Linked DNA regions of Oreochromis niloticus. The protein of the gene in region 1 purifies or fractionates together with the protein of each later gene. This does not show direct contact. Links are inferred from orthologs where the notes say so. Each region holds a gene or a part of one and is shown in the gene's direction. Other genes may lie near its edges.

Region 1 (11,444 bases):
AGCAGGTGGAACTGACAGAAGGGAAGCTGAAGAAGAGCGGAGTGTACGAAGGGGTGAGTATGTATGGAGAAGATCGGATAGATATGGAGGGGCGAGGTTATGAAGCGCTTTGAAAGTGAGAAGCAGGATCTTGAAATTGACACGGAGGTGAATTGGAAGCCAATGGAGCTGTTTAAAAACAGGTGTTATATGTCCAGTGGATCTAGTTCTGGAAATAATACGAGCAGCTGTATTTTGAACCAACTGCAGTTTATGTAGGGATTTATGAGGTAAACCATAGAGAAGAGAATTACAGTAATCCAGACGAGATGTGACAAGAGCATTGACAAGTATGGTGGTACTGTGTGGTGTGAGTGAGGGACGAAGACGGTTAATATTACGGAGATGAAAGTAGGAAGACCGAGTGATATTATTTATATGTGCTGTGAAGGACAGAGTGCTATCGAGGATGACACCAAGACTCTTAACCTGAGGGGAGGGTGTGACAACAGGAGTTATCAATGGATAACGAAAGACTGGTTGGAACTGTAGTCAGTTTTGATCTGGTGCCTATTAAAATGAATTCTGTTTTATTGCCATTAAGTTTAAGAAAGTTGTGAGTAAACCAGACCTTGATTTCACTTAAACAGTCAGAAATGGATGTGGGTGGGAGAGTAGCTGTGGGTTTGGAGGATAGGTAGAGCTGGGTGTCATCTGCGTAGCAGTGAAACTGGATGTTATGCTTCCTAAAAATATTACCTAGAGGTAGGAGATAGATGATAAAAAGTAAAGGACCCAGGACAGAGCCTTGGGGTACACCGAAATTAACTGGAGTAGATACTGATCTGTGAGGGAGTAATTGAACAAACTGTGAACGGCCAGAGAGATAAGAAGTAAACCAGGCGAGTACTGTACTATTGATGCCAATAGATGCTAATCTGTGAAGGAGGATGCGGTGGGACATAGTGTCAAAAGCTGCTGTAAGGTCAAGGAGAATGAGGATGGATATAAGTCCAGAATCAGCTGCAAGCAAAAGATCATTGGTGATTTTTACTAGGGCTGTTTCTGTACTGTGACATGAACGGAAGCCGGACTGAAACTGTTCGTACAAGTTATTTCCAATGAGATGATGATGAACCTGTGCAGCCACTATCTTTTCAAGAATTTTTGCTAGGAAAGGGAGATTTGAAATTGGCCTGAAATTATTTAGATTGGAGGGATCTGAACCATTCTTTTTCAGTATTGAAGTTATTACTGCGGTTTTAAGAGAAGAAGGAACAGAACCAGATATAAGAGAGGAGTGTACGATATTAGCAATCAGTGGGGCAAGAGACGGGAATGAGAACCTGAATGACAATGTTTCATTCTTGCACTTAACACTAAAATGCATCACAGGGCGGCTAATGAATAATAGTCTTTCTAGAAGTATGTGCTCTGAGTGCAAGCTTGTGGTTCCCAGAATTACCAAAAGCAGAGCCTTAAAAAGTTATCGAGCCCCTGTCCGGTGGAACCAGTTCCATGTTGAGAGAGACAACCTGTACTTTGAAGATTAGACTTAAAAATTTCCTTTTGGTAAAGCTTATAGTTGGGGTGGATCAGATGACCCTGAATCATCCAAAAATTATGCTGCTGTAGGCTCAGCTGTTGGGGACTTCCCATGATATAATACCCACTTTTCTGTTCACGATGCATTTATATGAAACTGTTGTACATCGTTTCCTTTTCCCTACTCTCTCCCTTTGTCCCCCCTTTTTGTGATCAGATTACTGCCCCACGCTGATCTTGGCTCTGTTGGAAGTTTCTTCTTGTTAAAAGGAAGTTCTTCGTCCACAACTGTTGCCATAATATCACCGTTTAGTTTGTCAAATTATAGGCTCCTTTTCTTTAAACTGTAAAGTGTTTTAAGGTCTATATCTGTGAAGTAGCACTATAAGAATGAAACTGCATTAGATAAATGTGAAGAAAGTTTGTATTTAACTAAGATTGCAATGGAAACTTAACTCGTAAAAAAACAAAAGTAGAGGGGACCCCACCAGGACATCGTGGGAGCACTGTAATGTTGCGCATTGATCTTACTTTGAAAAATGAATTCACTCAGTTTTAAACTCAAAGTTTAGTGTGTGTGTATGTTTTTTAATGATTTTCTGAAAGGCTGATTGAATTTCTCCTTTTTTTCAAAGGTGCAAGGGTTCCTTTGGCCCCGCTGGGGTCTGGAACATGGAAAGACATTACTGGAGTTGCTGGAGAGCGAGCGCTTCGTGTCCCGCCCCCTGCTTGTTCATGCATTTTCAATCGGTGGATATACCTTCTCTCAGCTCCTTGTGCATGTGTCGAAAGATACAGATAAATATCAGGCATTCACAGAAAGGATCACAGGGCAGATTTATGATAGCATGGTGGCAGGATCCCTTGAGCACATGGCTATAGGTGAGTTACCATTAACTCACACTTTATCTAATTCTTGTTTTCCTTTTCTTGCAAAATTGATAATTATTTTCCTTCTTTCTTCTCAGGTTTGGGAAAAACTGTATTTCCAAAATGTGAGTGGTTGGTAAAGCAAACAGCCATGTTTTACTTTGACAAGTTTAAAAGCCACACCGTGGACTACTTTGACATATCCTTGGATGTGTTTTGGAATACGCCCATCACCGCTCCTGTGCTGATGTTCTACTGTAACAATGATCCACTGTGTGACCCACAAACTTTGGCGGACTTGGCCGGTTACTGGCGAGGGCGTGGAATGGATGTCACAGAAAAGAAGTGGGACAATTCCATTCACGCGGGCCACCTTAAGAGACACCCAGAGGAATATCTGTCCACACTTCGCATATTCCTCAGTTCCCTTGGTTTTACCCCGTTAAAGGCGAAGTTATGAGGTAAAATCCCAACAATGTAATGCAAGAGGAACTTGACTTCACTGTACATTAACCTCAAATGTTTTAAGCTTTGGCTGGGCTGTAATAGTACATCTTGAATTTTTACACTAATTGGTGTGTGTTATGAAGGTACAGTAACAGTTCAGTTTTATTCAGAATGACGATCACATGTACTCAGGGTTTACTTCATACAGTTTCATAAACACTAAAGCAAAGCATATAAAGAATAAAATGCACTTTGGATCACAATGTTCATGTACGCCAAAGCAAACAAACAAATATAAAGTCTGACACTTTTCTTTTAGGCAAGCAACTGTCTACTAACTTAAACTAAATCATGGAGGGGAAGACAAGTGCAGGAAATATTCCAAACTTAAATTTCTCATTTGAAATGCTGGAACCAGCATAATTTGGCATCTTCATTTTACTACAACATAATGGTTTGTCAGAATTGTTAATCTACTGGTCACTACTGACATTTTCAGTTAACTATATATCTTCAAAAACAGTATACATCATTCCATTTTGCACAACATCTCAATGTCTTTGGAAATGGAGGGTTATACATTGAAGTTCCTAACTGTTCTTTGACCCTCAAAAATACAGTTTCCAAATCAAATGTGAACTTTGCCTTTTGCTTTTTTCTTTTAAATATTTGAGACAAAATGTAAACAGTCCAAAGAACGATGTGAACAGCAATGGCCACAAGCATGCAAGCTCCAAGTGCTTCTATTTATGAAACACGACAGGTCAAGATGTGTGCTTGATGTTTTAGTGTCTAATGTTTGGAGTCATGTCTTTTGGTGCTTGCATTAATGGATACAACTAGAGTTCAAAGTCAAATGACAAATCTCTGGTTTCAGCTTCTTAAATACAATCACTTGTTGCATATTTTTCAGATTTTGTCAGACAAAAGAGTAGAAATTAGCATAGTTTTAGGTGAAACACTACTAAATTTTAAATGTGTAAAGCCTAATTAACTCATGTTTCACAAGCACCAAGGTAATTTTTTATCAGTCAAGATATGTTCAGGGAAAACTCACACAAACCACCTGAAATCTACTTTACCTTTTCCCTCACAGTTAAGGGATTTTTTAAGTGGCTATGACATTTCCTGGTGGTTGATTATGTTCTCATCTCAGGATGTAAAAACCCTTGAATGATTTTGAAATTAAAACTGGACATTTACTTTTCCTGCAGTAATTTACAAGTAAAGAAACTTGTTCCGTGCTTTAAAAAAACAGTTGATGCATGTGATTGAGCTTCAGGGTTAAACTGCTGGTCTGATTTTCAATTTCCTGCTGATAAGCACAGCATGCTGTGTGCACTCAGAAGAAAATGCAATACTACTTGACACTGCTGCTGCTGAAGTTTTGTTTTTTACACATTTTTACACAAAGCCTTGAAAGTGCCTTAAAAAGCACCTCACTTGTTACTACCACCAAGTCTAACAAGAACTAAGGTGATTACAACAGCACGTTTTCATGAAAGTATATATTTGATTAATTTAGGTCGGTGTCTATGGCTACGTTCACACTGCAGGCGAAAGCGCATCAAATCCGATTTTTTCGCCCCTATGCGACCCGTATCCGATCTTGGTATGACAGTGTGAACGGCACAAATCCGATATTTTCAAATCCGATCTGGGTCACTTTCGTATGTGGTACTGAATCCGATACGTATCCGATGTTTTAGAAAGCGACTGCTGTGTGAACGGTCAAGTCGCATTAAATCCGTCTTTTACGTCACTGACACAAGACAGACGCCAATTATCAGCGCCGGAGAAGCGCCCGATAGGACATCGCGAACGGTTTCTTGCCATCCGGTGAAACTGTTGGGAAGACCACATTGGAGAAATGTGAACATTTTATTTTTACTGTATTTTCTGCAGATTCTGACAGAAATCTGCAACTATCCTTTGAAGCACCGCTCCTCTAAAACAGCAAAAAGGATCATTATTAGGTTATTTGCATTATTATGTAAATAACAAAATAACTTAAAGCAAAAATTTGGAAACATAAGGTCCGAAGTCTTTATATTAAGGCCAATCAGTCAAACAATATTGTTTGCTCTGGGTCTAAACAGAGCGAGTTGTGTGTGACATCTTCTTTTGCGCATGCGGGCCGCTTTGAGCGTTCACACTGTAGAGCGTTTGATGTCGCATTTTATGTGTAGTGTGAACAAGCAGACAAAAAAATCGGATTTGATCAAAAAATCGGAATTGAGCATTAAGACCTGCAGTGTGAACGTAGCCTAAGTGTGTGCGTGTTAAACTATACAGTTATCTCTAAGGTGTTTGTATTCTCAATATTCTTGAAGGATGTGACCTGCTAAAATTGGGAAAAGAAATCTTATTCAGTCATTTCTGTTAACACTTTTCATATGACTGACTTGTAAGTTGAAGATGTTTAAGCGTAACATGTTATACTTCTGTGTAATAAAGATGTGTTTCTCTTAACTTGAACCGGTGCAAGTAATTTTTAATTTTTCCTTTTTTGTCAAAGTTGATTACGAAGGGTTAGGAGTTAAAGCACCAATGCGGTGAAATGCAATATTATTCTTGCTGTAAAGCACTGTACTCTTGCCTAACAAAAGATACACATACAAAAGTTGTTCTTTAAAACTATGTGTACAACATAGTTTTTAACTAACTGGGGGTAAATGAAAAGTATGTATTTATATTAGGAGGTAATTATGCTTAACATTTAACCACCTAACCTCAGAACTGATGACCGCATTTAGACTTCAAGCTATTCTACTATTGAGACAGGTGATAAGCAGGTAAAGAAATGAACCTTTGACCAATGCAATTAGCACATTCAGTCATTGTGATGTTTTCTCCAGATATGGGTTGATGCAATCCGTTTCTGTAAGGTAGGTGCTGTACTTTTGCTTCATAACATTTTGCACTGTCCACTTCTTGCTGTGACAAAACAAATTTCCCATGTGTGGGACTAATAAAGGTTATCTTATCTTACTTCTCCAACGATGTCATAGCCCAAGGTGATTTTAAAACTGTGACACTAAAGAAAGGAATATCTTTTGGAAGAATGGTATTCAATCCTTTTAGCAGAGTTACAGGCTTTGAGAACTGAGGTGGCCCAATGCCTTAAAACTACACTGTTTTCGTTACTGTAAATTTTTAGTTTGTACTTAGAAAGTGATTTGAGCTACTGAAGACACCACCTGGTGGCAGAAGCCATGTAGCTCACTCCCAGTATTATCATTACAGTTATGCTTTACTATCAGCACAAGACCCTAGAAATGATTAATCCAGTGTAATATAAGCATCACATAAAAACAAAACAATACTGAAATTTACAGAAGAATATAGGTAAACTATTGAAGGGCCTCTTGTGGTTAACGGGGAATACAGAAAATCAACAACATATCACTTAATCAGTTGTTTTGGATTTGTGCTGTCATGGTTGGTAACCGCAATAGCTTCTTGTTTCTTGAAGTAATTAATTAAGGGATCATCATACGCTCCCTTTGGGCTTTCTGCAGGAAGCACCACCTCAATAAAACAGCTATTGTGGGAAGTTAAAGTAAATAGTAAGTATATGCAAGAAACTCAGTAATGGTGAAAACAAACATCAGACAGAAACGGTACTTCACAAAAAGAAGCTGAATTTTACTTTTATATCAGCTTATTTAAATTTACATATTATTCCTACATTGAAACCTCCAGGACGATAGGTGGCGCACGTGAATGCGAATATCTAACGAATACACTTCCGTTCTTTTTCAAAGATGGCTACTTCCACAAGTAAACATGCGACTTAATCCCGTGGCTAACGACGTCCAAGCTAAACAGTTCTGTGGCGTGTATTCATGCCACTGATAAGCGTGTTATCGAGAAATTAGACATTAGCTTCCTGTGGTGGATTGGTATTAAACTGCATTTCACTTTTTGAGTTGGTGTACACGCCGTAAAGTTAGCAGTTAGCCATGGCGGCGCACACCATATTTGTTGGTTCTCTACCAGATTCAGCTTCTAATGAGCGACTCGAAGAAATATTCTCAGAAATTGGTCCGGTAAAGAAATGCTTCGTGGTCAGAGATAAAGGTACTGTCGTTTATTCGAAAGAACCATACAGAATAGTAATTGAAAAAGTCGTACGAAAGTAGAATTAAATTAAACCTGCAAACATAAACATATTTATGTACATAACAGATATCTGTGGTCTCTATTTATTTTTTAACCAGAGACTGAAAAATGTCGGGGGTTTGGTTTTGTCACATATTCCATGGAGGAAGATGCACAACGAGCCTTAAAAGAAATTAAAGAATACGACGGGCAGAAGCTGTCCCTGACAGTGGCCAAGAGTAAAATCAAAGACAAAAACAAGAAAGGTTCGTATGAAGACATGTTCCAAAACTGGCAATCAGGAGAGTCTGTGTCTCCATGGTAACCTTGCACTTATTTCATTTAGCACCTACAGAGGCAGGCACTGCTCCAAAGGAGAATCAGCAGAAAGGCTCCAAGAAAAAGCTACTGAAAGCAAGACTCATTATAAGGAATCTCAGCTTTAAGGTACAGTATGTTTCATGATTACTAAATGTAACAGCTCAGCGCACACTGACACAAACCTTTGCTAATACACACCGTGTGTTACAGTGCACAGAGGATCATTTGAAAGAAGTATTTGCAAAGTTCGGGACAGTTGTTGAGGTCAAAATCCCCCTCAAACCTGGTAAATACATATGTTTCTTAACACAGTATACATAAGTGAGCATGTTGAAGTATTGCCAGACTTTGGGGTGGATTGATATGTTATGAGGTTGATTTTTATGCTTTTTCATAGACGGGAAGATGCGTGGATTTGCATTTGTCCTTTTTAAAAAGGTGCCGGAGGCGTCAAAAGCGCTTAATGCTATGAACCTGAAGGAGATAAAAGGTCAGTGAGTGAGACCGCTGAGTTGTGTGCTTAAAAAAAGCTCATTATGACTTGTTACTGTGACATTTCCTTTTTTTCAAATGTTGGCATTTAATCTCCAGGCCGACCAGTAGCAATTGACTGGGCTGTACCAAAGGACAAGTTTGTTACTACACAGCAGTCCTCAAATTCAGGTAGTTAAATGACAAAAATACTTTGTGTGCTCCAGTTCCACAAGATATAAAGCTTGTTGTCATTAACAATTTTTTTTTTTTTGCTTCATAGCCAGTACAAATCCAGAAGAAGCAAATGCTAACACTGACAGCGACACTGATGATGAGGATGAAAAAAAGAAGAAAGCTCCACCTGAGAAGAAAAAGTATGAACCTCAAACATGCATTCCTCTGTTTATATTGCCATGAGTGTTAAAAGGTGATTGACTACACTGGTTATTTTTGCTCCACATCTGTCCACAGTGTCAGTTCAAAATCAGCTGTGAAGCATACGGAGGAATTTGAATCAGGTAATGAAGATGGGAGTGAACAAAGCAGTGAAGTGAGTGATTCTGATGATGAAAAAGATGAGGAGGAACAGGAGGATGATGATGATAGGGAAGAGGAGGAGGAGGAGGAGGAGGATGATGATGATGATGATGATGGAGATAGCCTTGATTCAGATCATGATGATGGCAGTATGGATGAAGAGGATGATGAAGAGGATGAAGAAGATAAATTAGGTATGGATAGTATAAATAAATATTTAATATAACATATTTAATATTTCCTTTCCTTTAAAGTTGTTTTCATACATTCTGTATTTGGCTGTTATCCGTAGCTCAGAAAAAGACCTCGAAAAAACAGCTTCCTTCAGATGTGAAAGAGGGCAGAACGGTTTTCATCAGGTCAGTGATTATTCCTCCTACTCGGTCCTGAGCCAGCTTTGGTTTATTTTACTGTGGCTCATTTGTTTTCTTGTTATTCTTACATCCTCAAACTCTCTTTGAGACCTGTTTCTTTTTTCTTAACACCTACATCTAAACTGATTTAGGAACCTGTCATTTGACACGGAGGAAGAAGACTTAGAGGAAGTTCTCCTTCAGTTTGGAGAACTTAATTACATAAAGATTGTTCTCCACCCAGATACAGAACATTCAAAAGGTCGGTTGACAGTCCTTGAAAGTCCTTAAGAAAGACACTTGTGTCTATTAGTTGTTTGGAGAGAACCAGTTCACTTACTCTTCTGTGTTATTGTTGGCAGGTTGTGCCTTTGCTCAGTTTAAGACTAAAGAGGCTGCAGATAAATGCATAGCTGCAGCACAGGATGAGGCAGAGGTAATATGTAATCAAGTGTAATGTACATGATATTTGAATTATTGTGCAATCACACGCTGTTTAGATGGACCCACTTCTTGGGGATTTGGCCTTTTAATGTTGATGTTTTAAATTGGAATGTGGAAACAGCATGGGCAGAATTTAAACAACACATTGATAGCTCTGAGTGGTCAGTGTATATCTATGTATTTTTATTCAATATATTAACTGATAATAACTACTAATAAATAATTTTTCTAATTATTTTTTGTCAAGCTACATGGAGGGTAATTTAAATGTTATTAACTTGAAGCAAAATATTTTTACTAATCTGTCACTTGTCCAACTGATGTTTGAACACTATTATTACAAATTGTCTCGTGTATTCACCCTTTTATAGCATCACTTGAGTCTCTTTTTTGTGTAATAACCCTTGTTGTAGACAAGCCTTGAAAACATTTGTATGTTTGATGCAGGATAGTGGTATCCGTATACATGGCAGAAAGCTGATGATTGTTGCAGCAGTGAGCAGAGAAGATGCCGTGAAGCTGAAAGTCGATAAAAAGAAGGTCGAAACAGGCACGAGGAACCTGTACCTGGCCAGAGAGGGATGTGAGTAAACATTTATCTTATGTGCAGCTTCAGTAAGCAATCCTTTAATTTTGAACATTATTGAAGTCTGTGACTTCACTTCCATCATCTTATGCATGAAAACTCAAAGACACAATTCCTGTTGGTTGGTGAATATATATATGTTATGTGGCCACTTCATTAGTTACACCTTGCTAGTACCAGGTCAGACCTCCTTTTGCCTTCGGAACTGCTTTAATTCTTCATGGCACAGATTCAACAAAGTGCTGGAAACATTTCTCAGAGATTTTGTTTCATATTGACATGATAGCATCACGCCGTTATGCAGATTTGTCAGTTTCACATCCATGATGGGAATCTCCTGTTCCACCACATCCCAAAGGTGCTAGAGCAGCAGTTTCTGAAACATACAGACTAGCCCATCTGGCTCTAACAACCATGCCTCATTTAAAAATCACTGAAACCACATTTCTGATGCACCTAAAGTGTAGGTTTTAGCAGCAGGTTTGAATTTTGGTCCAGGTTGTTTTTGGTGCTTAGTACAACACGGTGGTTAGCACTGTTGTCTCACAGCAAGACGGACCTGGATTCAAAATCAGTCTCTGGCCGGGGCCAAAGACATGCACTAAAAGGTGGTGAGGTTAACTGGTGATTGAGTGTGAATGGTCGTCTGTCTTGCTGTGTTAAAGTGCCCATAAACCCTTCGCAGTGGTCGGTTTGCTTACTGCCGCGCTGTCATCACTTAGATGCAGTCATTTATACCTGCAGTTAAGGTGCAAAAAGCCGCTGCAGTGTTCTCCTAAACGATGGGTGTCGCCACTCAGTTATAAGTCAAAACAGGAAGCCAAGACTTTGTCAAGGGTTCTTTCCACAAACTCTGAAGTTTTCAAACAGTTGCAGCATCTCCCTCTGTGTGTCAGTATGTCTCTGAGCTTGTGTACAGGATCATTAAAGTGGAGGTAAAAATTGGCACAATTATACAGTCATGTCTTCAACCCAGCTGCGACAGTTGTGGTGCAGCACACAAAGTTACAAGAAAACAAGAGGTGTGGCGACCTGTACCATGCACCCCGCCTCTCGCCTTATGGTAGCTGGGAGGCTCCACCCCTGGATAAGCAAAAAGAGAATGGATAGATGGATATCCTTGGTTGACGAACTGTGTTGTCGAACTATTGTTTTGAAGCTACAGCGAAAGACATCATCACAGTGTTTTCTTTAGCTTGTTATCTTTCCTGTGGGACAGCCCAAAGGAGGCTTTAGAGGGCATGAAAGGAATTTGCACTGGCTCCATGTAGCTAAATTGCTTTTGAATGTTATTGTCTTTCACCTCAACTTTCAGTGATTCGTCCAGGAACCAAAGCTGCTGAGGGTGTACCTGAGACAGACATGGTCAAAAGAACCAGAGTAAGTACGTTTTTCATAAACAGTTCCACTCGCAGGATGATTTCTGTTGTATAATAATCAATCTTTCACTTGGTCTTTCTAATTGCTTCCATTTTGAGTCATTATTTGCTGTTGCCTTTTTTTCTTTCTTAGTTTGAAGAAATAAAGAGGGCCAAGCTTCGGGACATAAATGTGTTTGTGTCAAAGACTCGCCTGTGTGTGCACAACCTGCCGAAGTCAGTGGACAGCAAAAAACTCAAATCACTCTGCCTTCAAGCTGTGAAAGGAGTAAAGGGAGTTCGCATCACAGAGGTGAGACTACACCATTGGGCTTGACGTAGATTGTTATTTTGTCACAGTTTTGTGAGGAAAAAAATGTTCTGTGCCCAGCAGGGGGTGTTGTGGTAATTTTTTTTCTCACGCTG
Region 2 (11,922 bases), on another chromosome or scaffold:
TTGTTAACTATAATAACTTTGGCACAGACACAGTGATGAGAGTTTTCTATGTGACCTTAAAAACCTTTTGCTATCTTATTATGATGCTTGTGTCTCTCTTAGTGCTGGAGTCGGGAGAACTGGCACTATCATTTCCCTGGATGTGCTGCTTCAGCAGCTGGAGAAAGAACAAGCAGTCGGCATCAATGCCTTCGTACACAAGATGAGACTGAACCGACCATACATGGTGCAGACGGAGGTAACTGTATTAAACTGCTTCTGATTGAGCCACCACTTCCTTAATTAGCTAACCATGTATGTCTTTATAGTTACAGCTGGTGAAACAACACACAGACAGCATTTTAGTCATCATAAGATATGCAGTTTTGTTTTTGTTTTTTTAATTGGGGTCCTCATTTTTGATCCTTTCATCCTAAAATATGAGTTTGAAAAGGATTTTTTCTATTGTTCAACTTTTCAGAACAAGGCAGACTTTGTAGGTATTATCAACAGATGCCTGCTTAAAATATATTTAATGCCCAGTTTGTTAATTGCACTTGTTACTTAGTAATTTAGACAGCAAAACAATCTCTAAGGGTCTATGTCTACATATTTTTAAGTATGTGAGCTGAAAATTTGTTTTCATAAAACAAAGCCTTATTGGACCTTTTTGTTTCTGATTAAAAAAAAAATGAAATGCTTTATTGTGAAACTGTTTGGCAATGTTGCCTGCAAGAAACTATCATAATCTCCCCTGGCAGAAGTTCTGCATTTCAAATGACCAACAACTTCTGGTATTTCCTTTTCAGTCTCAGTACGTTTTTCTGCACCAGTGCATCATGGACAGTCTGCAACCAAAAAACACAAATGAAGAGAACATTTATGAGAACACGTACGAGAACGCAGATATGATATACGTCAATGCCACTGCCCTCCAAGAGCTCCGTCGGCAAAACGGAAATGCGTAGTGTCAACCCTGCACTCAATCTTTTATGCACTTAATGAAAAACTATTTGTCTATAAGCAATATGTTGGTTTTAAACTTAATAATACAAACTATTATATCTTAACTATTTCTGTATATGCATTGCACACTTCAGATCTTATTTAGTTTGCATCTCTTCTAAATATGTAATATTATTATTTTTGTTGTCATTGTTTTTATGTGAGAAAATAGCACTGATGAATTGAAAATGTTTCAAAAATGAATTTATTAAAAATAAGTACAAAACAAAAGAAATATAATATTTCACATTCACAGAAATATAAAAGCTGAGTTTTGGTTTCAGTGTGTCATTGATCCTCTTTCATAGACCAGAAACAACCATTTATGCATCTTCTTCTGTGACGTTGCTACCTGAGGGGTCCTGACTGCTGGACACAGTAGAGAATTTACTATTAATAACTTCCTGTCTGGCTTTGAGGGCCTCCTGTTTGATCTCTACTGGCACTGACTGCTGCTTGCCAGGATATAGCGGCTCAGCTTTACCAGCGTCAGGTGGGGGAGGGACAGAGAACTTTTTAGCAATGTTGTGCAGCACACTGCATGCTTTGATAATGTTAGACTGTTTGTTAAGTGAGCCTTCTTGTGCAAAACCAAGTTGCATCAGACACCTGAAACGCCTTTTCATGGAATCCAGTGTCGTCTGCATGACATCGAGGATCTTTGCATGGGCCTCGTTGAAGCGGATCTCGTTGTTGTTCGCGGGCAGTGATACAGGAGTCAAGACGTGCTTGCTTAAGTGGTAGCCTTTCCCACCTTTAAATGAAACATAAGAGAATGCAGTGAATATCAGAGCAGGATAGCATCTCTGAACAATGTGGACCCCTGAAGCAGAATGGCTATAGCAGCAGAAGACCACACAGGTGCCACTCTAGTGAGAGCTCATTCTAAGAACAAGAAACTGAGGCTTCAGTTTGCATGGGCTCACTAAAATTAGGCAATAGCCATTCTTGGAATACTTTGATCCCTGATTACAAACTGAGAATCATCTAAATGCCAGAGCCTATCTGAGTATTGATGCTGACTATGTCCATCCCTTTATGACCACAGTGTACCAATCTTCTACTGACTCCTTTAGACAAGATAGTCGCCATGTCACAAAGCTCAATTCATGTAAAACGGGTTTCTTGAGCATGAAAATGAGTTTCCTGTACTGAAATGGCCTCCACAACTCAAAGTGAGAATCACAGTGAGGAAGAAAGAACTTTGAATGTGAGATGTTAATGCTAGATGGGCTGGTCTAAGTATTTCACAACTGTCTGCTGGGATTTCCTCACACAAGCGCTGGAGTTACATATAATGGTAGGAAAAAGAAAATATCCAGTGAGCAGCAGTTCCCTGGCAGAAAACAGCTTATAATGTTAGAGGTCAGAGAAAAATGGCCAGACTCCTTTGATCTGATAGGAAGGCAAAAGTAACCACAATTGAGGTATGCAGAAGGTCATCTGTGACAACACCTGAAGCCAATGGGCTACTACAGCAGAAGACCACAATGGGTGCAACAGCTGTCAGCTAAAAACAGGAAACTGAGGTCACAGTTTGCACTGGCTCATCGAAACTGGACGACAGAAGAATGGGATGTGGTGATCAGGGAGATTCCCATTATGGATGTGCAGCTGACAAATCTGCAGCAATCTGATATGAATCAAGAAACATTGACCAAAATCTGTGACGAAATTTTCCATCACCCTGTTGAATCTAGGCCATGAATAATAACGTAATAATGCATTAATAACATGTCCAGTAAGTTTATGTGTAAGAAGTTAAAACACTATTTTATTTGTGTTTTATGTAAAAAGAATGAAATATTCCAGAGAAATCAACTGTTTGCCAAGAAGTTAATACTTTTGACAACTGTCAATTTTGCCTTTTTCTGGGAATAGAAACACTAAAGAGCAGATCCGTTCTTTTTGGGAATAACTGTTTTGCATTCATTGCCTTAACTTATATCTGTATCTTTGCATCCCCTCATACACCTCTACTTAATCAAGGGATCTTTACACCTTTCTGGAAGGGTTATTGCTGGGTGACCCATGTAGGGGAAGTGCAGAATTTCAGATAGTTTAGATGATGGGGTGGGGTCTTCCTGGGCGGCTTCTTATTGCTAGGCAACCAGTCGTCATCAGACGCAAACGGATGATAGTTTTGTAGGTTTTTATGCTTGACTTGATACCTCACTGTGCTGTCACTCCAGTTTACATTTCTAAATAAACATTTGCACAAGAGGTCATCACTGCTCTTACCAATCAACCAAAACGGGCTGTGCAGGTCCTCTTGCATTTCCCTTCCTTTAAAGGAGGAGTCCCACATCTCTTGCTCAAACGTGCCACCAACACAGCACTTTTCAACACTCAGTATGTTGCCGTCGCAGTCGCATATGATCTGGCTTACAACCGATGTGTAACCCAGGGCATTGATAAAAGACCTGAAGGCGTCTTTTTCATATGGAGATGCTCTGATCTTGAAGTGCGCAGGAGCCAGGACGCCCAGCACGTTTGGGATTCCGCAGAATTTCTCTATCTTTAATGCGACGTTAGTTCTGGCGTCCAGGGTTAGCGGGAAAGAGATGAATACATCGGACATCCCTGCTATGACTCCCGAGATTGTACCAACCACAGTCGTGGGGCACTCCGTCTGCCTCAGTCCGGCTTTCTGCAGCACAGCAGTGGTGGAGACCCCATGTGCGTAATAATTGAGCGCCACCATGACCATCTCGTCCACGGGCAGCTGGGATTTCTTGGGGGCGGCGTCCTTCATGCGGATGCGGACGGCGTCTGCGATAAACAGGATGCAGGGTCTGCTCAGGTGGAACAACTGAAAAAGAGCTTCATCGTCGAAAGTGTCAAAGCAGCTCGAAGCTCCGTAGTCTGCCTCGTTTTGTGCCAGGAGCTCCTCCTGGACCGCAAGCCAGACAGGCACGGCGAAAGCCATTAGTTTTTACTCCGATGTATTTAAACAAGCAAAGATCCCCCACGGCGTGCCCGAAATCGTTCCCAAACAACGTCTTCTTCTCCTTTGGCTTGGCAGACTGGACGCTGGGCGGCGTGCTGCTGCCCTCTGCTGTTCACTTGTGTCCCTGTTTCGACATCTGTGTTGTTATATATTGCAGGATTATGCGGACACTCGCCCAGTTTCGTAATCTTATTCCGGTTATGCAGGCTGATTAAAGCGCAACAACAAATCTCCTGGTTGCCTCGTCTTTGTTTAACGTTTAAGCTAAAGCGATCCGTTATCGCCACCTAGTGGACAGCAATAAAAAACATTTGAAAAAGACTGCAGTTCACAATGTGTAAACCAGTTGTGTGGAAAAATCCCAGCAGATCAGCGGTTTCTGAAATACACAGACCAGCCCATATGTCATCAACAACCATAACGTTGAAAGTCACTAAAATTACACACCGTCTTGACCATGTCTACATAACTAAATGCACTGAGTTTCAGATATTAGATATTTGTGTTAACAAGCAGTTAAACAGGTGTACCTAATAAAGTGGCTGGTGACCAAAAACCAAAAATGTAGTGTGGGATAAAATGCTAAAAACTACCTCTTATTCTCTGGGATAATCAAGTGCAGATGTTCATTTGCAGCTTTAGTAAGATTTGGATGGGCATAAATAATTATCTGGAGCCACTTTTATTCTAGACCGACATTTCTGACAGGCATTAAAGTATTAGAACAAAATAAGATGTTCCTTTCTTCTAGCAGTGGACTTAAAAATAAAAGAATTAACATAAAAATATGATTATTTATGACATGTTTATTGCACAGAATAATAAATATAAACATTCTGTATTTTAACATAGACAGCACAGCCATTTACTGTTGTTTTCATTCAATATACATCTTATTGTGACCAGTGTGTTCGGATACAGAATTCACATTTAACCATTATAAAGATGCTTAAACAATAAAAAAGTCAACAGAATATATCTTCTTATAAATAAGGCACAAAACATTTCATAAAAAAAGACAAACAGTAACACCAAAATAAAACCCCTGCAGCTTTACTTCTTCTCTGTCCACAGCAGTATCAGACTGTGCTTGTTACATACTGGGTGATAAATAGAACATTTTGTTGACTTCACTAATGGACACATCCTTCAATCGGGGTATTCCACCGTTACGGCAGGACTCGGTGCTCTGGCCTTGTGCATACACATCTGTGACAGAAAAAAGACATTTAACAATCAGGAAATTCTGAAAATGTGGCATGGCTGTTGGTGGCAGACGGGCTGGTCCGAATATTTCAGAAGCTGGTAATCTGCTGGGATTTCCCCCACACAACAATCTCTGACATCAACAAAACATTTTGTTGACGTCCTCACCTGTGATGTTGTCCACAGAGTCCAGCGGTGCCGTGTTGCGCATGTTCACACCGAATAACAGTATGAAACAGACTGTTATTGCGACCAGCAAGTAGATTGGCATCGCAAGAGCCCAGTATCTAAACAGAACACACATTTGACACTGTCGTGAAACTGTGCAGGTGCTTCCCCAGTGATCCATTTATCTCAGAGCAGTTCTACTTACTTTTGAGGCCAGTAAGTGAGCCCTATTGAATGAAGCCACTCCTCTGGCACGAAAGCCCATAAGCAATACAGAACTGTGGAGAGACGCAGTGAGTATTACAGACATGCACTGCTTGAACTCCTGTTTGTGTTTTGGATTGATTCACTTACAGAAGCCAAACTGTGATCCGAGGAAGAGAACAAACCCATAAATGGCCCTCTCAGGCAGAGGAGATGGAGAGTTTTCCACCATGATCTACAACCAAAACACAGACAGAAAGGTGTGGGAGAGCAACGAGACAGCAATAAAACATTCAGGCCCCAAAGAGAAGTTACATACCTGGAAATACGTTTTTTCTTTGCTCCTTTAAACCCTAACTTTACTCAGATTTTTAACATTAATTACCACGTTAATTATATGCCTGATGATTATCAAAAGCAATACAAAATGGGTTTAACACGTCTATCAAAACCCACTGTGCCTTTTTTACATTAGTGCTATGAAGCCTTCCGCAACGGTCCGTCACTTTTCCTCAGAACGATGCGAAACTTTTTCTAAAACATTAGTTCCGCCATTGAATCGCTCACAAAACAAGCGTCAAAACATGACTTTTTTACGTTTATCATATAAAATTTCACATTTATATAATTGTAAAGCAAAAGCACGGTCGGAGATTTTTTTTTCACATCTTACTGACGTGACGCACTTGAGCTACAGCACGACGTCATGTTTGTGACGGACATATTTCACTGTTGCACATCGTGGAAAAACACTCAACGGCATGGCTTCGGAGAGAGTTAAGTTTTACGAGTAAGCGATTTTATGTACAGTTCAGGGACGTGCTTCAGTAATGCTCGTGTGCTGGCCGAAAGGTGAGCTTAGTCTGGGGGAGACATTTCTTACTGTCTGAAGTTGTTTGGCAACTCAAGTAACGGACATCTGACAAGCCAGCGTGGCTTTACACACCTCACCACGAAAAATATAAGGAGGTGAGGATACATGAGATAGGTGATCATAATGTCTAAGGTGGAGAAACAGAAAAAACAGTTTCCCGCTAAAGCACGTAAGCGGAAACCTAATAAGAAAAACGGCATATTAAAAAAGAACGAGAGGCAGTGGTTTTACTCAGCTCCTGCAAACAAGGAGCAAGAAAAGCCTACAGCTCCACAAACTGCTCCTCCAAAAGACTCCCAGCAGTTCTCTGCCAACTGGAAAGCACTTCAAGAGGTCAGTGAGTGCAGTAGTTTGATATCCATGCATGTCCTGTCACACAATTTGGTTTTTGTGTGCCTGTGTTTAATACTACCCACAGGTTTTTCTCCCTTATTTTCCTCCCTTCAGGTGTTGAAGGCCAGTCAGTCAGAGAAGAAGCAGCCAGTGGCACCGAAACATCAGAACGGCTTCTTGCCAAAGAAGGTCCAAGAAAATACTTCTAAAATAATTTCTAAGAACAATGCTGGACCAAGCCAGAGAGACACTGAGAAAAAAGCGGATCACAAAACTGTGCCTAAGAGTTTTGTCTCCGGTAAGACTGGGGTCAACTCAAAGGTGTTGGATGTCTCGAAGACTAAACATGCTACTGCTCCAAAAAGAGAGCGGGATAGCGGGAAGCCAAACAGCCTACAGGCAGCTAAGAAGAAGAAGCTTGAATCCGAGGAGACAAAGCCCACAGAGTATGTATATATTAGCACTGAAGTTGACTCATTTATTCAGCAAGAATATTTTTGTCTGATAATCCCATCTCATTCTCTGCTGTTGCAGAGAGGACCTTTGGTTTGATGACGTGGACCCGGATGACATTGAGGCGACAATGGGAGCAGAAGCAGCCGAGATCATGAGGAAGAAGCAGGGCAAGGCCAAGGGTACGGATGGTGCCTCGGCTAAGGACACGGAGAAGAGCCTGGTTAAGGAGAATGCTTTTGAAGGGTAAGTCGCTGTGCATTCAGTGTACAGTGAGAACCACACTCAGAATACAGCGGGCAGCTTTGATGCCATTTTAGAAAAGTGCGTGAAAATATTCCCGGGGAAAGATGCACGCCTTAACAGCGATTATAAAAAATATCAAGTCCCTAATGTCATTACTTCTCTCAATACAAGTATTTCACAGGAATGTTGCTGCCGTGGTGTTATTAGCTGGCTGTGAGTAACTGTGGATGTAATATTAACAATGTGGATTTGGCACATGATGTCATACTTGGGAAATGTCACACAAAATGTGTTTTTCCCAACATATAGACTTTAATATCTCTGAAACCGCTCAACTGACTCGGCCTGTTTAAACAACATTATGTGCCTCATGCATAAGAAGCTCAAAGTAAATGATCAATCCCCCCCCCACCTTCTACAGTTCTCTGGATCTGCTGTCAAAGATCAGACATCCAATTATTTTAGGGACTCCTTCTGTATGAAGTTGAGCTACACTCCTGAGGAGATGGAGACTGTTTTTTTCCCCCTCAGTGGAGAGCTTCATGGAGCTTTCCTTCAAGGAGTCAAGTATTACATATAGTCTGTGATAAATACTTTTGCCATTGCATGTTTTAGTGAATTGTCTGGACAGAGCATGAAGTAAACATGGTTGCTGACTGTTTTCTGCGGGTTATGGAGATGGATAAATTGTTGAATGGAATTTATACAATTAAATCCTTCACTGCGGTGACGTAGCCTGTCAATACAGCTTCAGAGCTCACTACATTGCTGTGGAAAATCATTGATAATACAGATAAATGCTGTGGAAAAACCTGTGACCCCTGATGGATGAATGGATGGATGCATTCTGAGCTAGGTCACAAAAGGTATGACCCTATTATGCTGTGTCTGCCGGTCATGCGCCTCTCAATTTTGTAACCTGAAGCGTTGAGCAAGGGTTAAAGACGAGAGTGTACGATTGTATCAGTTTTTACAATCATTTTAAGGATATTCCGCCACAAAAACTCAGAGACATGCAGATATACAGAGAAGGAGATGTAGGAACAGTGTGAAAACTTGAGTTTGTGGAAAAAACTGTGGAAAAAAAACCTCGACAAAGTCTCGGCTTCCGATTTTGACAACTTCTCCTCCTGTGTCAGCACTTATGTGGCGATATTGTCTGATTGCTGACACCTGTCATTCAGGAGAATACTGCAGCAGCTTCCTGCGCCTTCATGGCGGGTATAAATACGACTGACTGTGAGATAGTCTTGCTGGAGCGAGCAAAGCGACCTTTGCGTTTGGTGTACTGGGGCCTTTACATTGAGGTGTTTACGTTGAGACAGAAGATGATGATTGTCATGTCTCTCCTTTCTTGTCACTTTGTCGTTCACCTTAAGCCTCACTAAAGCGGTGGCCATTGACTGTGAGATGGTGGGAGTTGGTCCTGATGGAGAGGACAGCATCTTGGCACGTGTGTCAATTGTGAACCAGTTTGGGAAGTGCATCTATGACAAATATGTGAAGCCCACAGAGAAGGTAACAGACTACAGGACAGCTGTCAGCGGCATCCGGCCAGAGGACATCAAAGATGGTGAGAGAAATGAAATGAGTTGCAAAGAACAACTGAAAGTCTCTTTGTTTCTTATGTTGTGTTTCTGATGTTTTTTAAACCACGTTTGTCTCTCTGCAGGAGCGGATGTACAGATTGTACAGAGGGAGGTTGCTAACATCCTGGAAGGGAGACTAGTGGTTGGACACGCCATACACAATGATCTAAAGGTAGCATGGATGTGATATCGGAAATAGAACAAATGTAATATTTTTCTTAGCCTGATTATGAGCAGCCACAAACTATCTCCTGTTTCAGATTCTGCTCTTGGATCATCCAAAAAAGAAAATCAGAGATACTCAGAAATATAAACCCTTCAAGACGATCGCAAAGGTATGATGCAGTCACCAATGTCTCAACAGTTTACGCAGTGAATGTGTGAATGAATTATAACTGATAATAAGGCGTTTTTCTTTTTGTTTTAGAGCGGTCGACCCTCGCTCAAGCTCCTTTGTAGAAAAATCCTCGATGTGAATGTCCAAGAGGGCGAACATTCATCTGTAAGTCATTCGAAAAGCCTTTTAAATTATCAGGGTTGAGTGACCGAAAACTGGCACACGTGTAGGGCTGTGCGATATGACCAAAATCTCATATCCCGATATAAGACAGTTATTGTCCCGACAGCGATATATATCACAAAAATGTTACATTTTCTGTAAATTCTGTGAATCTTGGGCGACTCGATTTGCATGAAGTGTTTTCAGCTGGGCGTCCTGTACCTGAGGTCAAGTGTTTTGACCGATGCATGAAACTATACATTTTTAGACATAAGTTGAGCCTAAGGTTTATTGTTTAGCACCTAATGGCTCTTTTTTTGCTTCTCATCCATAAACTCTCTGCATACTCTTTCACGTGATTCAGTTAATTTTGAAAAATCTCAACAGGATCTTCAGCTTTATTGTGAAAGGTTTATGTGGAAAATAAACAAGCAGACGGCGGAGCCACGCTATGGTTTTACCGTCGTTGTCGCTAACGACAACGCATAAAAGCAGTCGCTTGTCCGTCTGCAGTGTGGTTATATTAAATGTAAGAGAAAGAGAGAACTTTAACAAATTAATACTACATAAAAGCGATGACAAAATATTGCCGTAAACAGTTTATTTTGCGACACCATGAAACAAACGATAGACGTTTTCATATCGTCAGCCGATATATATCGTTATATCGAACAGCCCAGGTATACACACGGGTACATCTTTGACCCCTGAAGGCCTGAAGATAGTATGATATAATCTTGTTGCCTAGCAACCACATACCCAAATGGTCAATTTGCATCATTTTAGCACTTGTAGCATCTTACAAAAGCATCGTGTCACTTTGTTTTCATGACATTAACATTTATTGTATATCTAGAAAACTTTATTGTTGATCTCATGATGTCATCATCCAACAGTGGACTAAAATCACTGACTCGGCACTACTCCAGCATGTAAAAACAACTTGTATAAACACCAGTGTGTTATTGCCCAACAATGTTAGTAACACTTGGGCTGATCTTTGCCTGTTGCTTTCTCCAGGTCCAAGACGCACAGGCCACCATGAGGCTGTACACAATGGTGAAAAAGCAGTGGGAGGCAGAGATTAAAGCGAGCAGGAAAAACAAATTCTTGGATAAGAGGAGTGAGAGAAAGGCCAAGCTTCCCAAAGACAAGAACCACTGAGGATTATAAAGTCAAAACGAGCAAGCAAGAGGACAGATGATCTCCCGATGAGAGCAGAGCTGACTGAAGTGATCAGAGGATTCTTTTAAGAAGAAAAAACAACTATGTATTTTTGTTTATTTTAATGTGAGGGATGTTGAACCTGTGATTGTATAAAAGCGTGACTTGCTGAGCTTTTGTGAGATCTGGCGCAACAAAAAGCGTGTTAAATGCTTTCGCAGATAGTGACCGGTTTCATCAGCCTAAGTCGCTCGGGGAGATCGTTGCAGGTTGTGAAAGACTTTATCGAGTTGCAAATCAAGAAGTTTTGTTCCTCAGTGTGCCAGACTGACTCATGCAGGGATTAGAACAGAGTCTTTATATACAGTTTGTAAAAATGTCTGTTTTTAAAGTATAAATAAAACAAAAGATGTAATTCGTTTAACTCTGCTATGCATATTTCTTTGTCCTCACAGTCTAATACAACCACAGGAGGTTCAGAGCAATGCAAACTCTTTTTTTTATAAAAAACTTATTAAACTGCATTTAATGCAAGTTAATGTCAAGACATGAGTTGCTGCCTCACATTTGGTTCATGATTACGGAGAGTTCATTTCCCATTTCTCTGACAAACATCAGAAAAGCCATTAAAGAGGACAAACGTTACTGTTTACTGTGAGTGCAACCAAATGTGCATCTTAAATCATTTATTACTCAAATCCTGTATTTCCTTATGTAATCCCATCCCGGCCTTATTTTGATTTTTTTTTTTTTTTTTACTATGTCATGGTGATAAAGTAAGAAATCCCCTGCCTGCCAGCAGTGTGTCAGCGTGATTTGCAGCCCGGGAGCCGATGCACTCTGTGCTGTACTTTATTGAAATGAAGCACGCGCCCTCGGTCTGCAGCCTCCGGGCTCTAAATTAGGTTCTCTGTGGGTTTCTGACAGGTAGTGCGAAGGCTTCAGGTAGCACAGCAGATGCTGGTGTGCCCTAATATGTTGACACAAGATGGTAGCATGACTTTTGTTTTCTGCATGTAAATATTTTTTGGTTGCAATGTAATAAAGCAGCAGTTTCCATATGTTAACAGTTCAAACTATGTAACCATGCTTTGCCCGGTGGTCACATGTCGGTATATACTACAGCAAACAGCTGAATTTAAGGGAAGAAATCCATTACTGGATGGCCGGGCTTCAACTATCTAAATACTAAAGCCTTAAAAATGATAAGCAGCGCTCTCTGTACGCTTTTAGTCAGGTTTTATGGGAGGCG

What was found.
Region 2: the proteins of rbm28 (region 1) and rexo4 purify together in Homo sapiens (affinity purification with mass spectrometry; 3 studies listed by BioGRID and IntAct, with this or other methods). This does not show direct contact. The link is inferred for Oreochromis niloticus from reciprocal best matches to the Homo sapiens genes RBM28 and REXO4.

The regions. Positions count from the first base shown.
Region 1 is NC_031972.2:55,356,123-55,367,566, reverse strand, and holds the start of rbm28 (RNA-binding protein 28), read left to right. Parts: upstream 1-6,591; 5' UTR 6,592-6,806; coding exon 6,807-6,924; intron 6,925-7,064; coding exon 7,065-7,211; intron 7,212-7,291; coding exon 7,292-7,392; intron 7,393-7,476; coding exon 7,477-7,552; intron 7,553-7,663; coding exon 7,664-7,756; intron 7,757-7,857; coding exon 7,858-7,929; intron 7,930-8,020; coding exon 8,021-8,114; intron 8,115-8,211; coding exon 8,212-8,471; intron 8,472-8,569; coding exon 8,570-8,636; intron 8,637-8,782; coding exon 8,783-8,892; intron 8,893-8,992; coding exon 8,993-9,066; intron 9,067-9,521; coding exon 9,522-9,657; intron 9,658-10,975; coding exon 10,976-11,040; intron 11,041-11,172; coding exon 11,173-11,331; intron 11,332-11,444. Other genes in the region: uncharacterized protein si:dkey-5i3.5, read left to right, coding at 2,160-2,406, 2,493-2,854. UniProt on the Homo sapiens protein: Nucleolar component of the spliceosomal ribonucleoprotein complexes.
Region 2 is NC_031973.2:18,111,705-18,123,626, forward strand, and holds rexo4 (RNA exonuclease 4), read left to right. Parts: upstream 1-6,245; 5' UTR 6,246-6,509; coding exon 6,510-6,719; intron 6,720-6,833; coding exon 6,834-7,165; intron 7,166-7,253; coding exon 7,254-7,418; intron 7,419-8,797; coding exon 8,798-8,991; intron 8,992-9,090; coding exon 9,091-9,179; intron 9,180-9,267; coding exon 9,268-9,342; intron 9,343-9,434; coding exon 9,435-9,509; intron 9,510-10,526; coding exon 10,527-10,670; 3' UTR 10,671-11,090; downstream 11,091-11,922. Other genes in the region: receptor-type tyrosine-protein phosphatase H, read left to right, coding at 103-238, 789-947; si:dkey-197c15.6 (putative nuclease HARBI1), read right to left, coding at 1,308-1,738, 3,226-3,913; pigp (phosphatidylinositol N-acetylglucosaminyltransferase subunit P), read right to left, coding at 5,028-5,143, 5,309-5,427, 5,514-5,586, 5,663-5,744.